Linked DNA regions of Drosophila melanogaster. The protein of the gene in region 4 interacts with the protein of the main gene of each other region in a pairwise test. Each region holds a gene or a part of one and is shown on either strand. Other genes may lie near its edges. The genes, in order: ATPsynCF6L, Eglp4, CG10918 and Tsp74F.

The links.
Region 1: the proteins of Tsp74F (region 4) and ATPsynCF6L interact in a two-hybrid assay, tested with the Drosophila melanogaster proteins (one large-scale study listed by BioGRID).
Region 2: the proteins of Tsp74F (region 4) and Eglp4 interact in a two-hybrid assay, tested with the Drosophila melanogaster proteins (one large-scale study listed by BioGRID).
Region 3: the proteins of Tsp74F (region 4) and CG10918 interact in a two-hybrid assay, tested with the Drosophila melanogaster proteins (one large-scale study listed by BioGRID).

Annotation. Positions count from the first base shown.
Region 1 is NT_037436.4:5,010,906-5,013,678, reverse strand, and holds ATPsynCF6L (ATP synthase, coupling factor 6-like), read left to right. Parts: upstream 1-1,545; 5' UTR 1,546-1,583; coding exon 1,584-1,879; intron 1,880-1,934; coding exon 1,935-2,082; 3' UTR 2,083-2,235; downstream 2,236-2,773.
Region 2 is NT_033778.4:23,607,064-23,610,805, forward strand, and holds Eglp4 (entomoglyceroporin 4), read right to left. Parts: upstream 1,868-3,742; 5' UTR 1,744-1,867; coding exon 1,069-1,743; intron 989-1,068; coding exon 770-988; 3' UTR 529-769; downstream 1-528.
Region 3 is NC_004354.4:21,428,062-21,431,092, forward strand, and holds CG10918 (uncharacterized protein), read right to left. Parts: upstream 1,196-3,031; 5' UTR 1,183-1,195; coding exon 631-1,182; 3' UTR 553-630; downstream 1-552.
Region 4 is NT_037436.4:17,891,311-17,897,782, forward strand, and holds Tsp74F (tetraspanin 74F), read right to left. Parts: upstream 4,553-6,472; 5' UTR 4,456-4,552; intron 3,903-4,455; 5' UTR 3,721-3,902; intron 2,247-3,720; exon of another isoform or gene 2,142-2,246; intron 2,077-2,141; 5' UTR 2,068-2,076; coding exon 1,990-2,067; intron 1,913-1,989; coding exon 1,721-1,912; intron 1,503-1,720; coding exon 1,407-1,502; intron 1,344-1,406; coding exon 1,047-1,343; intron 973-1,046; coding exon 925-972; 3' UTR 510-924; downstream 1-509. Other genes in the region: CG7402 (uncharacterized protein), read left to right, coding at 1-44.

The DNA.
Region 1 (2,773 bases), about 13 Mb from region 4:
CTTAGCTCTGTGTAGTAGTCGGAATGAAGATTGAGATACATGCGCTCGGCACCAGACAAAAAAGACCTGATATATGCCACCAGCAGGCAATAACCGTTTCACGTCTTCTTGTTTTCGCCAATGAACGCTTAAACTATTGGTGCACCGAACAAAAATACTAATAGAAATAGGATCGCAAGTATGTTGATAAAACAAGTTTCAATATTTTAAACACAGATAAAAAACCTCTTAATATTTATAGTTCAACTCAGTTTTTTTGACAAAAACTTATATTAGTATTTGTATTAGAAACTTGATCGATTCAAAACACGTAGGACGACAGCCAACCCTCTTCATTGGAATGTCAGATGCGTGGGAAGTTTGTTATTGCTGCCAATTAGGTTGCCATTCTGTTTGTGCCAATGTTTGCATATTATTTCTGCCCAATTTGCATTGATGCAATATTGTCCATGTCCCGCGCAGCGCTCCCCCCTCCCCCCCCCACACCTCGTTCCACTACATGGCGGCGTCAAATGCAGAAAATGTCAAAATTTAAATATTGAAAGTGACGTTGGCGTACAAAAACCCCTCGTGTTGCGGGCGTTGCACTAAGCGGATAAGCGCTTGTTAAATTTTTAATGCGTTGCATAATTTTTAGTTCGGTGTGGATATTTTGCACACAATATGTACGTACTATATGTTCGTATATTTTAATTCGAGTGGCGGATGCGAAACGCAGCATGAGTGCTGGCTGCATTTGAAATGAGCCGCATGTGGCGATGGCCGATTAAGCCCGGTTTAGAAGCTACACATTCCTCATTTCGCACTCGACAATGATCCATTTATTTGCACTGTCAGCGATGGTGCGGGAGGGGAAAAAAGGTGAATGGAAATTTATATTAATTATAATTTTCACAGCCATGTCTTCCCATCAATTATCAGAGTTTGTCCGACGGCTCAGTTCTCTTTTCAGCTCTTTTCTGCTCTGTGCATTTAAATTTTTCCCCTGCAAAGTCCTTGATAAACATTTTTCAATTAATTTTTATTTGCTGCCGCCGACATTTCTTTGTCCACACACGCGCATATATTTATGTATCTTGCTGCGTGCACATAAGCAACAGCAACAGCAAGTTGACGGCAGCAACATCATCGCCTTTATGTGTTTCACGTATTTCTTTAACGGATTTCCACTTGTCTCACTTTTTGAGAAAAACTTGTCGAGATGGCACTCGCATTGTCAAGCCCACTCACACACAGACATTCGCAGATACGACGAGTCAGACAGAGAGAAAATCTTACACGCTCGGGAATAAAGGAGAACGGGCAGCAACGGTGCGTAAAAATTCGTCCTGGAGCAGGGAAGCACTTCAGATGCGTTAGCCCAAAATGCGGGGTTTGATAAACGCAAAAAATACTCAAAATAAAAGATATAAAACGTTTAAAAATATAAATTCAAATCTTAAAAAAAGATGGCTTACCTGTTCTGAAGACAATGATTTTATTTTAATTTTGAAATCAAATTACCCTTGAGTAAGATATCTCAGAATCATATTTTATCGCATAGAAACAGTATCGTGTCAGCAGAGAACAAAACTAACAAAAAAATGTTTAGCCGTTTCCTAAAACCAAGCCTAGTTTTATGTAGGAGTGTGAGCAATACCGCATCCCTTCGCTACAAGGATCCCATTTATCAGATTTTCCTGGACAAGGTGCGCGAGTATCGGCTGAAGAGTCCCAAGGGAAAGCCCGTAGATCCTGGTCCGGAATTCGAGGCGGAGCTGAAGGAAGTCACTGAGCGCCTGGCTCTGCAATACGGCGGCGGCGAGGGCGTGGATATGCTCGAGTTTCCGAAATTCAAGTTGCCCGATATTGATATTGATCCCATTTCGGTTGATGATCTGTAAGTTACAGTTAAATTGGAAAAAGTTTTTATAAAAATATAAATATTTACTTAGACCAGAGAACCAACCAAAGCCTGAGAAAAAGAATAGAGATAAAGAAGTAAAGGCCAAAGAAAAGGGTGGGGAAAAAGAAGTGAAAGCCAAAGATGGCAAGAAAGCTGACGAACCAAAGGGCAAGGATGAAAAGGACAAGATAAAGTAGATCATCACTAAAAATAATCGTTTTAAATGTTGTTAAAATTTTCGCACAATTCTTAATACTTTAAAAATTATAAAATGTTTATGTTAAAAGAAAATGAATTTAAATGCCTGCAGATTCGAGCTACCCGTTTGTAGCTGTTCCAGGATAGAGCCGAAAAAAGAACGCACCGAAATTTTTATTAAGCACATACATGCATAAGCAGCACTCACACACACCATGCTTTTACCATGTTAAGTAATTCCTTAAACAACACAACAGGTCGCCGCCATTCGCATGGCCTTGTCCCTCCCCTTGGTCCTTCGTCCTTTGGCGCTCCCGCACGCCCCATCCCACCCACTTCCATTTTTTCCGTGTAACTGACGCTGAGTGGCAGACACACAGATACTCACACAAGCAAATTGAATTTAATGCTTTCTGCTGTTGCTCTTGATAAAACGATGGCAAGCGAGAGGAGGCAGCGTGTAAAGGACGAGCGTGGGAGCGAGAAAAACAAATCAAGAGACGTCGCGAAGGAAATACAAGCCAAACGCACAAATAAATACGCACAAGTACATAAATTTAAATTATTTTCGTGGCCTGGCCTCGCTTTCATTTATGCTTTTTTATTTTATTATGCCGCTCCGCTACAGTCGGCCTCAAGGATCCAAAGATCCAAGGATCCGGCATTTGACTACGGTCCAGACGTCCTGGC
Region 2 (3,742 bases), on a different chromosome or scaffold from region 4:
AGTGATGCAAATCCAGCATTAGCATATCACCCATAGCACATAGTCCCCTTTAAACCACATAGAACCACATATATCATTTGTGCTTCGTATACGGACTATAGACCCGAATGGAGTACGTAACGTACAATAACTGCATATTGTTGGTATATTTTGGCTTTATTTGGCTGATACGCGCGTCTCATTCGCAGCCTGCTGATAACGTTTTTTAGCCACCATTTGATTGGTCGATTTGGAGGTACTAAGATATTCGAATATCTTATGAACAGATTTTCCAAAGACCGCTTAAGCTGATGGGCTTTTTTCACTTTCGATTCCTGGAAAAAGCTTATTGGTATTTTTAAGCCCGGAAGTTACTTAGAGCTAATCAAAGCAAATACCTCGTTATTGAAGAATGAAAAGCTTTTAGATAATATGGACTCAACATGTTTTAAGATGGCCCAGAAGAGCAGAACTTCAGGTATCAAATAACTACCAATATCTTGTGTAGAATTTCTTAAAACCATAAAAATAATTTACTTGTTTTGTTTTGGTTTTAGATTAAAAATCTCGATGTTCTTTATTTCTGAAGGCAATTAGTGTTTTCACCAAGACGTTTATCGTTTCAAGGGCTTATGTAAGTGTGTGCACTTGGTTCGCCTTTTGAAACGTTCGAGCCACTTTGTGAAGACACTGCTAACATTAGCGTACAACGAATGCATTATTTTAAAATTCGGCATCTTAGATATTAACTAAATTAGTTAGGGCTTTTCCTACAGCAATGTCTTTGGCCTTACGACAGCTGGACGTCCTCCAGTTGCCGCAGCTTCTCATTGGAGGTGATCTCCGCCTCAACCACCTCGCGGCGGAAGACGACCTTGTAGGCGTAGGCGGTGATGGCGGAGGAGCTCAGCGGGGCCAGCCAGTAGATCCAGTTGCTCTCGAAGTGCTTGTTCCACAGGGCGGGGGCGAACGACCTGGCCGGGTTCATGCTGCCGCCGGTGAAGGGACCCTAAAACCAATGGTAGGGAACGAGGTTAATAATCCGTTTCGAGGCAGGTAAGGATTAGCCAACTGTTCGCTTTAACTTACGGCAGCGCAGGCGAGACAGGCGATGGCCAGGCCAAATCGAATGCCCACGGAGTCATGGAACTTGGAGTTGCGCGGATCCCACACTCCGCAGCAGACGATGACCAGGATGGAGGTGATTACGAACTCGATGCCGAGGGCCTGGCCCGTGGTTACGCTGGTGTGGGGCAAGGTCACGCAGAGCCCAGCGCCCACCGTAAGTGTGGGCGAGGGAAGCAGGACCATGAGCAGGCCGTAGCCGATGAAGGCGCCCAGCATCTGGGCGGCGAAGTAGGCAAATGCCATGCGCAGGGTGACCATCTCGTAGATGTAGGCGGCCACGGTCACGGCGGGATTCAGATGGGCACCGGAGACGCAGCCAAAGCACTGGATGGCGATGAGGACGGCGAAGCCGAAGTTCAGCACAATCTGCAGATGGTTGTTGGGAAAGAGGTCCGTCTTCACGCAACCCATGCAGCCCAGGAAGACCAGGATGCCGGTGCCGATGAGCTCGCCGAGGAAGGCGGAGATTTTGTCCAGCGTCGATCCCTTCATTTTGAAGACCTTACAGCAACTGAAATGGTCAGAGAAGCGCTTGAATAATGCCACACTAAAAAGCGAGCTACCCTCTCTGTCGCACGCCATCGTCCATCTCTTTCTCGACTCTAAGTAGACCTGCTTAGGAACTTCATCAATCATATCCTATCTAAGACCATCCTATCGTTTCGCAAAGCCCTCCTCGATTTGCACCTAATCCCCGCGACACACTTCTACAATCTCAACTATTGTGCAACTTTGTAGTTAGTTTGTCAAGCTTCTAGACCTTTGCAACTGCTGTTCTCCTTCGGCTGCCTGGACGATTTCCTGCTGGTTTTCCACCCCTTGCGGATCCATCCCCTGCTGCTCGAGGTTCATTGACTTGGCATCGATTTTCCAAACACCCTTTTTTGGAAGCACAACTTATGCTGCTGATCCGACAAACGATGCCTGCTGCGGGAATGCCATCGATGGCTGGACTGACATGAAGTAGCCGTGTACTAAATATAGTAGACTTGTGATTGCCGTTCGGCTGTCAATTGGGTTTATAGATAAATGGCCGAAAAAATGCGAATCAAATCACGACATGGCCATAAAACAATAACCAATCTTTTTCAACCTTATCGCCTGAGCGCCACTCGAGTCAATTGGAGTTCACTACGTTGCGAATTAATCCGTTTATTGTGATTGGTAAATCCCTCTTTCTGGTAGCCAGAACTCTTGTTTTTTGTTTTTTGAATTTCTTTGGTTTCGAGTGCCAGATAATTACCGAATCTCGTGGCTCATTTTGACACTTGTCCAATTCTTTGAGATCGCACTATATAATCAATCTTTTCCGTAGCTGGTGAAAATTCACAAAGCGGCAGCGCGACTGTCAATGTCAATCTGAGGCGGTGGAGTAGCCATAGGCAAATATTTATATCTGTGTCTATATAATATTGCGTAAATCAAAAGCCCATTTTTAGCCCCTGTGAGAGAGCAGCAACACACACAGATACACACACACACATATGAAGGGGACCGACCACAAGCACACACACACACACACACACACAAAGGCGTGGAAATTAGCGAATCCTACTGGTGAGCATAAAAAAGTCAAGTGTCCAGAATTTATGAGCATCTTAAACGCTCATTCGCTGCTCTCGTTCGCTTTTGCGATTATCTCTGGAGCGATGCTCCTTCTCGCTCCCACTCTTCCTTTACCAGTCACCTGGCTTAAATCATTATAAAATGGTAGAAACAATACGGATGATATTCCATGGAAACAAGGTTAGATATTAACACTTGGTGTGCAACTGACATACTGGTTTTGCTCTATCGAATTCATTCGACTTATTCACAGCATTTTATGAGAATTATAATATTAAAGGTGGTCCTTACATTTGTTTTTTAAGTAAATTATCATTTTCATTTAACTTGTTTCTTACTATTTGTTTGCCATGAGAAAGGCAAATCTGCTAAGCAATGATTGCTAGAATTAGTAGTAACCATAGTTCCTAAAATACGACATTTTCATTGCGTGTCATTCAAACTTAGCACTAAACTGTAATTGATAGCGAAAATCCCCATAATTATTTTCAGTGTAGTTGGTCGGTGGGCGGTGGGCATAACACTGTTATGCTGTGCAAGTGCGTGACGCGCTCGCAATTGAAGCAGGCGGCATATTGCGTATTGATAACAGCAGAGTGGCACACTATCAATTACCACCGTCGCTTCGATTCCTATCAATTGCAATTGCTGCAATTGAGGATGCGTTGCGTGAATCGGGCTACCACGCAATGTGGCAAACAAATCACGGCAAATCTCGGCACGCCTGTCGATCAAATTGCACGCAATTTGCGTAGTTATGTGTCTCAATAACAATTGGATCGTCAATAAATAATAACAATTTAAAGCAAATATTTTCAAAAGCCCTGCTGTTGCACACACACCCAGTACACACAGTGGCTCAGGTGATCAGAACTTTTGACCCTCACTGACCACGCCTAATGTTTTCCATTGCTTTCTCGCCATAACACACATTGGCATTGCCACAGAAAACGGTGGAGAAAATAGCACTGCTGGTTCATTTGCGTTTTGGCCCTTGGCCAACGGCAAATGTTTGTGTTTGGCCAACTCATTGACAGTTGGTTGGTCAAAAGAGAGCGACACGTTTTGG
Region 3 (3,031 bases), on a different chromosome or scaffold from region 4:
GTCAATTTATTGGATTTGGACATTCCGCACTCTCAGCCCTCTTCTATATGGCGTCCGGATTTTCGGTCCCTACTCCTACTAGGTTCCCCGCACGTTTGTGCCCGTGCCCCCGTTCGTTGCACCACCCCTTTGGACTCGAAATGGTGCAGCATATGTCATGTGGTGTTCTCAGCGGTGTCGGGTGTTTCCTATTATGTCCAATTCTCGCTTAGCCTACCACTTATTGAAAATTCAATTTGCCCTAATAGAGCTATTCGGCAGGCAGCTGCCAAAATTAAATTATCAAAATAACTAGCCTTCATGCTGTTTACTTTATGATAACAAATGATGATATTTCATTAATCAGATGATTGATTTGCCTGTCGATATCGAAGAAATAACAGAAACGATAATTCTCTTAAGAGACAGCTTTCAATCTCATATGCTAATCGAGATATTTTTTGGTGCGAATCAAAGGTCTTAATACGAACGGACATTGCTGAATAGATTCGGCTAGTCTGTAAGACTAATATGACTGTATATGACTAATATATTCCAAGTTAATGAAATTAAGTTTCAATGTGCCAATTAGATTTTATTTTCATACATTTCCCAGAAAGTTTTCAATACGCTGCAATTGAGACTCAGAATCTATCCCGAACCAGTAGTGCTCTCCGTGGAGCTGCTATCAGTGGAGCTATCGGTGGAGCTATCGGTAGAGCTATCGGTGGAGCTATCGGTGGAGCTATCGGTGGAGCTATCAGTGGAGCTGGCAGAGGAGCTGCTGTCGGTGGAGCTGGAGGAGCTGCTAGTTGTGCTGCTGGTGTCGGCCAAGGAACTCTCCGTTGTCGTCCACCAAGGTCTTGGGCGACGAGGACGTGGACGTGGGCCCCAACCGCCAGGACCGCCGAATCCACCATTGAAGCTTCCGGGACCGCCAAAGCGGCCGGGACCTCCGAATCCTCCACCACCGCCAAGTCCTCCAGGCCCTCCAAAGCGACCAGGTCCGCCGAAGCCACCGGGGCCACCAGTACCACCAGGACCACCGCGACCGCCGAAGCCACCGCCTCCACGTCCTCCGAATCCTCCAAGACTTCGGCCACCGCCTCCGCCGCCACCGCGTCCACCACGTCTTCCGCCTCCCCCTTGGGCCACGACAACTGCCACCAGGGCCAGCAGGGTAATTGCAATGTAGGCACGCATTGTGGGACTTTTGCTCCAATAGCAACTGATTTGAGTTATGTACGTGTAGCCCCTTTTATACCCAAAAATTCGGTGTCGAATTCATCCATCAGCCTTTTTGCTAAGAATCCCCCGTGACGGCAGCATTGGCTGTGTGCTTAGCTGGATACTCCGAAGAATGGAAAATAGAGCGAAGAACTCCCTGAAGAGCTGAGCTCGAATTCTTCGCATCTAATAATCCGTGTGTTTCTCTTGTTTCATTCGTCGTGTGGCAACAGCTGGTCGATGTTTGAATTAGTTCCATTGTTCTATTCTTCTATTTTAATACAACCGTTTGAGTTTAAAAAAAAGTGCTGTGTCAGAGAGGGAAGTTTACAGAAATTTACGCAGTATCCTCACAATGAAACAAAAAACAATCATAACGTTAGCCAAATACTAAGACGAATTGTAAATTTGCTTAGAAGAAAATGAATGTCTATTTGAAGGTTTATAACCCTACTGCAAATTTTTGTTTATTTACTTTGTTTATTTGTTGTCAACAACTGGGTTACTTATTCTAATAGCACTCGTTTAAAAGTTCTCTTAAAATCTATGACTCAGTCGGAAAAATTATATTTTTTGTTCATTTTTTCATTTACATATTTATACCTGTTACTTGCTGAGTAAAGGGGTATACTAGAGTCGTAGAAGCGTATGCAACGGGTATCTGTTAGTCGGTTTACTCGACTATAGCATTGTTTTATACTCCAGCATCGAAAGTTGAATTTTCTCATGCTTTATTAAAAGTTAGGAACTATGTAAATTCATTAGTTTTTAAGGCCTTTCAATTGGTAACACTTATTCGCAGAAATAAGTCAATTGATTTGTAAATACACATGCTTAGCCTTCATTTGCGCCATTTATTTATGTCTAAAATCTATCTATATCAACTGCCAAGTAATAAACATATATTTCTTATATTAATAAAAAAATATGTATAGAAGATCGAACATCTTAGAGTGAATGTGGATTAAGTTCCTGAAAAGTAAAGCTCTGAACAGCTTTTCTGACTTTCCCAATTCGAGAGTTGCGGATGTCGAGGAAGAGAAATCTTTAACATTAGTGCTAATACATGGCAAACGACCTCGAGGAGCCACTTAATTTTCTGATTAGAATCAATCAGGGCGTCGAGTGAAATGTGCGGCTGAGACAAGGACACCTAGTTGGGCGGCGGGAGTGGGTGGCGTTTAAGAATCGCGAATATAGAATGGCGTTTCCCGCTTTCCGCACATATGGGGATTTTTAAATTGAAATTTCGAGGACCGGAAGGTGGGTGACTTCGTTTGGAGTAAAATGAAAATGAAATGACAAAGAAAAAGAAAAAGAAATTTGCGGCTTAGATAAAAAAAAAAAAAATATAAATGAAAATTAATTTTTGCGTCAAAAGTAAGTACATATGTGTGTGTGTGGCTGAAGAAACTGACGCCACATATTCACGACCGTGTCAATATAATTTTCGGATACAATCTTTTGGGTTTTCAGAGAAGCTGGTGGTTCTAGGTATTCTTCGCTGTCCCTCTTCTGCTTTCCCCTACGGCTTTCCTTCATTTTCCCGTACTTTTCCCCTTTTTCCGCCTTTTTTTCTGCGTTCTCCCAATTCCTCTTGCTTTTGCGCTTGCCCAATTGTCGTCGTTTGAACTTTTGCCCCTTTTGGAAATTTCATTAACTTTGATGCGGGAAGGTAAAACAGTTACAGGGGGGGTTTTTTAAGAGGTCTTAAAGGGGGTTTTTTTATGTGGGCAGACAGAGGGATAGTGCAGAACTGCAGAACCTTAACAATTACCACTTCACATGACACACAAACTCGCCAACTCACACAACTTTAAAGTTT
Region 4 (6,472 bases):
CGATGGGTAGTATTATAGGCTTAGTATACAGAAATCTGTTGTAGCTGTAAGTTCTTAGTAGAATAATTTTTAATAAAAGTTAATTAAAGAAAATACTTTTTTATTCAAATCTTTAAAGTCGCTTGAGTGCGAACTTATTTTCAGTTAAATAACATAAAAGTTGTTATATTATCTGATGATAATTCACTTTGTAAACACCTTCAGGTCACAGCGTGATCCATACTTTCCCTATTTTCCCGCTTCAAAAATGTGACTTAAGACAAAAAAAACCTAAAAATATGCAACAATATTGCATGTAGATTAAAGCTTCGATCAAAAACAGTTTAATACTTTAAACCGTTTTTTAAATACAAATTTTTACGTAACATGGACATATTTCATGGACCAGATCATTTTAAATATTTATCCTTTTTCGTTTTTTTTTTATACTCATATCACAACATATCGTTTAATGATAATTGGATTAAAAATAAAAAATATTAATATATATAAACATTTCCGAAGTATTTGGTTTTAACTAATTTTTATTGAAAACAACAATGGACAGACATCTAAATTCTCTATTAAGTATTGAAAAGCTCACTTAAAACTAGCAATTGTAATGGGTTGTTGATAACGGTGGCTTAAGAGGAAATTTACAAAACTTCACACAAATAATACAAATTTATGCAACAGATAATAACAATAGAATCCCTACTAAGTTCAATACTCACTAGTTATGCGTATCTAAACACGTATATACATACAATACAATACATAATACAAGCGGACAGTTGATCTGTGCAGATCTAACATTAGCATACACTCAGATAATACTCTTAATTTAACTCCAGCGAATTATGTTTAAAAATGTGTTTCTTCTGGACTGTGGACCTTGGTATCTGATTTTCCTGCGTGACCATGGGATTCCCCTCCTCGTTGGCGCTATTCGATCATATTGAATAGTAGACAGGAGAATATCATGCCAAAGATCTAAAAATAAACCAAATTCCAATTAATTATATATTATATAATAATTTTGCTACCGAAGAAAGGCGTTCACTTACCATCAGTATGGCCACCGCTATGGATGTACCTCCAATAACCGCCGCGTGATCCCTGATGAAGTTGGTCGTCACATAGAGGCATCCCTGGTTGTACAGATTCGTAATGGTCGGGAAGATTGTGCACTCCTTACGCTGTCCACCGAAAAGCTCCTGGCAACAGGACTCAGGCACTGGTCCGTACCTATTCCAGTCGTGCCACGTATCCACTCCGCAGCACTGTAGTCGCTCCTGGGTCAAATCCCAGGCCTGGGTGATCTCCCTCCTGCTTCCGTATAGTGCCATCGTGGAACGCATTTCCTATGGGATATTGGTAAGGGTTAATGTGCCACCCACGTGTTGTTATCGATGGATTTGCCTCACCTGCCGCATGGTCTGCTGAACTCGTTCGCGGAACACGTAACCCAAGACACCGCCAATTAGCATGGTCACGAAAACTAGGGCCACTATTATGAAATACTGCAAAGGGAAAACGAGTGGTTAATTTTTTAGCTAAATGGTGTTTGCATAATAGTAAAGAAGAGACTGACAACATTTAGAAGATTAAATCAAATAGATCATTTCTTTAGATGGTATCTTTGTAAATATGCAAATCCAGATATGATTACTCCAAAAAGGACAAAGTTAATTATTTAATAAAATGAAATTTTTGTTTTTATTGTTTGTTGTTTACTTACTGTTAGGAGGAGGCATTTGACTTCTTTTCCGGCACCAACACAACCCAAAAAGGACACCAGACAAATGATAATCGATGTAACCAGCAGGACGTAGACAGCACCCGAGAAAAGATTTGTACCGAGCAACTCATTGACGAAACTCCGATCCACCAGAGTCCACAGGGTGAGACAAAACACAATCGCTCCACCCACCTGGAAAATACATATATTTTGGTATTATTTATTTCTCTTAAATTGTTTTTTAATTCAAGCGACTCCTGGATACTCACGAATATCACAAAGTTGGCTATGAAAAGACTGTACTTGACGAACTGCCCGCAGCAGTCCATTCGCGAACTGAAGCCCATATCGTCTTCCTTTGAAAGGATAATACATTTCAATTAACCAATTCAATGGGATAAAAAGATTTCACATTGTTTACTTTTGTCTACAGGTGAAGAGCCCCCAGAGGATATTGATGCGAGGAGAATTATGCAGGGAATTTGGGGTAGGATGAGATGCAGAGGTTCTTGATGGCGATACAACTCTATAATCCAAAGACAGATAAAAATAATTTCACACTATGCTTTAATTAAGTTAAAGTTCTTAGAGATCATTCAATTTCAACAGGTCCTTAGCGATAACCAAGTTAATCATAACTCATCATCCCGATTTCAAATTAGCTATTTTTGGCCTACTCTCTATTGCAATGTGATGTAATCTCAAGAATGTACTTTTTAACGAGTTTCTTTCGCGTAAGATTCACTCCAACATATGGGCTGCCTATCAATGGTGTTCGGCTTGGCGAGTGGTGCGCATGCGCATGCGCATGCGCAGCTGTGGTTTCGGCCGAACGTTTCGCTCTTTCTAAGCCGGGTCCGAACCGCGAAGCGACCGAAGTACACTTAACCATGACCCACTTTATGGAACTGCGACTGAGCAGCGAAGCTGCCAACGCTATGTGCCTAGACAAGCGTTCATTATCGGCGGTGGCTGCCAACGTCTTGTGGATTTTGTCAGTTACGGCTCTAAAGACTCGCGTTTTTTTTTTTTTTTTTGGTTACTTACATCGCATTAGGCCCACTTGAAGGGTTCGCTGCGCGGCGATTCCGAGACGAATTCCCCCCGTTGAAGTTGGAGCGATCAAAACAAATAAATCAAAGTAATAGCCTGCCCGAAAATTTGTCAGCTAATTGTAGTGGTTTAACTACGAGTGCCGTCCCAGCTCTGAATCATCTTGGCGCAGTGCGATGTTCTAAATGCTAATTAAAAGTAATTGCAGGCTGAGCAGTCGGGTACCCCTTCACCCCACTAGCTGGTAAACGACATCTCATTTCGAGCATTATTCTCCAAATTCAAATATGTTAAGCCGCAGTCGAGTTCGCCAGGTAATTGGCGGGGCTATTAAAAAAATGTTCTCACACTATCTGAATATTCACTATATTTCATTCGACGTTATCATGTTAAGCGAATCCGAATCGTGCCTGAGATGACAGTAAGTCATCCGAAAGTCGCCATTAATGATGACGGGGCGTTGGCGGCGGGGCGAATCACTATATCTGCCGCTTGTAAGCTGAGACCAATTAAGTTTATGGTAATTGTTCAGCTGTACGTGCTACACATGGTAATAGATCACTTAAAGCTCGGATTCCAAGTCCTGTCACTCATGAAAAACTTAGAAAATCAGACTTTTTAAGTACTATCTACTAAACTCTGAGCTCACTCTTTTATGCTCCTTTCATACCCTGTTATCTATCTGTAATCATAGGAATAATAGCTTTACTAGGTCATTTATGTTTAAAACTCGTATGTAATCTTTATTTGTAGGTGATGTTAGCTTAAAAGTTAGTGAGCAGAATCGGTCGAGGCTATAAATATGAAATATGTACTCCTTGTTTATACTCGAAGCTTGAAAATATAGCAGTGAAAATAGGAAAGTGGTCGCATTTGAAGGACCTCTGTATGAAATTTATGATTAATTAAAACAAATGAAATATTATCTAATAAGCAAATTCACTTACAAGTTTGCCGTCCCGTAGCACAAACGAAGTTTTCGTTAGGTAACCAATTTTGGCGGTTTTCTTTCTCAGCTTTGTGTATGTAAATTGCCTTCAATTTGTTGTTTTGCAAAAACACAAAGCAAAACAAAAGAAACGGCTACTATTTTTAGTTGCACTTGAATGCACAGAAACTTTGGGAGTGGCTATAAAAAAAGAAGGAAATTATTTTAACCCTTTCAATTAACATTTTTGTGGTAAGAAGTAGAAGAGTTTTTAATTTCACTTTTATTTATAAACAACTTTTTGATGAAGACGCATTCATTCATTTTTTCGGTCGATTTTATTAACTTGTTTAAATTTTTGGTTCATTCTTCATTCAGATCACTTCATTCAGATCAAAAGAGATCGCAAAGTTTACATACGCATATAGCAATTTATGCAATATTCGTTAATATTTGCTCTCGAATTTTTATGAAACTTTTTTAATACAGGTTTCTTGCATTTGTTTTAAGCGTCACTCGCAGTTGATAATTGTTATTGAGTTTTTATTCGATTGCTGTTGCTGTTATTGTCAATTGCAGTTCTCCCATGGCAAACAACTTTTTTTTTGCCGCCTTGCTTTTAACATTTGCTTTTCAAGTTACGTCACGCTTGCCAAGGCAGCATTATCCTTAGCGGAGTTATCACTGTACTGTCGGGATATTTCGTGGGGATAAAACTATACGATTCACTTGATGGACCTAAGTCTCGCCTTACAGGGATTGAGTGGATCCGGGGAGCTATGATACTATGGTTTTATATGTGGGACAGGGACGACTCTACCGCCCGAGAGCTCGCTTGGAACTGGTTGTGGGAACAGTCGGGGCGATCGGTTTTTTATTAGTTTCGCTCACAAAGAGCTTCGTTGTTGGGCTTTTTCTGGTCTCGGTCTCTCGACATTACAACAACTTCGACTTGAGCCCCTGTTTTCGAAGGCTTAGCACTGCAGGTGCGAGAGAGATGGGAGTCTCTACTCGCTTACAAACCGCAAATACTTCTCTGAATGTTTTCGTGCTTCTCTCTTATTTATTCATCTATTTTTCGGCTTCTTTTACCCACACTTCCCTTTGCGGAGTCGGCATGTGAAAATGCGTTGAGCAAACAAAATATGATCCGTCGTCCACAGCCAGCACCTTTGTTTCATTTCGGGCAATTGCAAAATATAAATATTGATAAGCAAACGAAATTTGATATTTGTTTTAGTTCTCGGTCTGCACATGGCAATGTCCGCATAATTGATTTTGGAGGCAAATCTATCCGAATTGGTTACCGTTTTGTTATAACAGTTTAAGTTTAAATACTTTTTGAACAAGGATTATTTGTAATGATTGTTTTCTTTCTTCAGTTGGATCATTTGCATCTATTTGCAACCATATTTATATTCAATATACGAGTGTTGATCAGACAACTTGATAAAGCCAAGTTTGTCAGTCCGTTCCTTTCTTACGCATTCTAGAATCATAGTTTTAAAGCTTGGAACTTTTCTAAAAATCTTCTTTTTATTGCTCGTAGTATGTGAATTTGTCTTCTGTATCATGTATGTATAAATATCGAAATTTAATTGAAAATATTAGAAAAGAAATCAAACATTGGCGAGGCTATCTTTCTTTCTTGATTTCAAGGGCTTAGTGTTCCAAGAGAGCACAAGGAAAATATGCTTATTATCCGTGTTTCATGTTACTTTTGCTGGTCGAACTCAATTGCTGTGCCGAAGGACAACCTTTGGCAATTAACAGCTTAATTTTCTTGTTAGTCGAACAAATAGTTTTGGCTGAGTTGAGTAATTTTTTAAGCAGTTTCCAAGCTAAGGTCAGAAAGTTGGCTGCCGATAGACGAATAGCTCACCCTCCCTACTTACACTCCACAGCACGGTTGAAAAGCGCTCAAATTGTTGGCTTGTTTAGCACTTTTATGGCCGTGTTAACAACAACCACCCGCCATGTCCCCGTAATCACCGACCAATGTGTTAGTTGCATGGCGAAAATAAAAATAAATCATAAAAAAAAGAAAAACAATTACTCTGCCTGTTGATTTTGCATCTTATAAACTCGCTGTGGGAACCTTTTGCGTTTTATAGATGCCATAAAATCCATTTCCACACACTCGTCCCACAGGCGCCTCATGATAAAATATTGCTCAGAAATCGAAGTTTGCGACTAGTGCTCAGTTATTCTTGCTCAAGTGGCCAAGAATCATTAATATTATGGGGAATTCTTAATTTTAAGCCAGTCAATTTCGCCTATGAACCTATACTTACTGAGATCCGATTAGTGTGAGCGAGTTGAAAGCCTCGTTGAGCTCGGCGAAGGTGACAAGCGTCAGAAGCGTTAAATTGTGGCACTTTAACTGATTGGAATGAGTCAAAAATTGGGAAGGCAAGCAAATGACTACTGGTAGTGGAAGATATAATTAAAATGTTAACCGAACTGCGCATACAACCGAGTTAACACAGCAACATGCATCATACATTATCAGATGCAAACTAAAGTGAAACATTGAAAAAACAACAAATGCAACATTTTTGATTCTCACATGACTTATCATAGCTGCTATAACTCTACTTACGCCTTCGCCACTTACTGATCTTCGTATAAAAGCTATCTCAATCAATCAAAAATTTGCATATTGCATTAATAAATTAATGAATCTATGGGAATGTGTAGTGCTCGTGAATAATGCATTGCGAAAGTTGAAAGGTTATCAATAGTTAATTATATAGAATTTACTTTAGCTT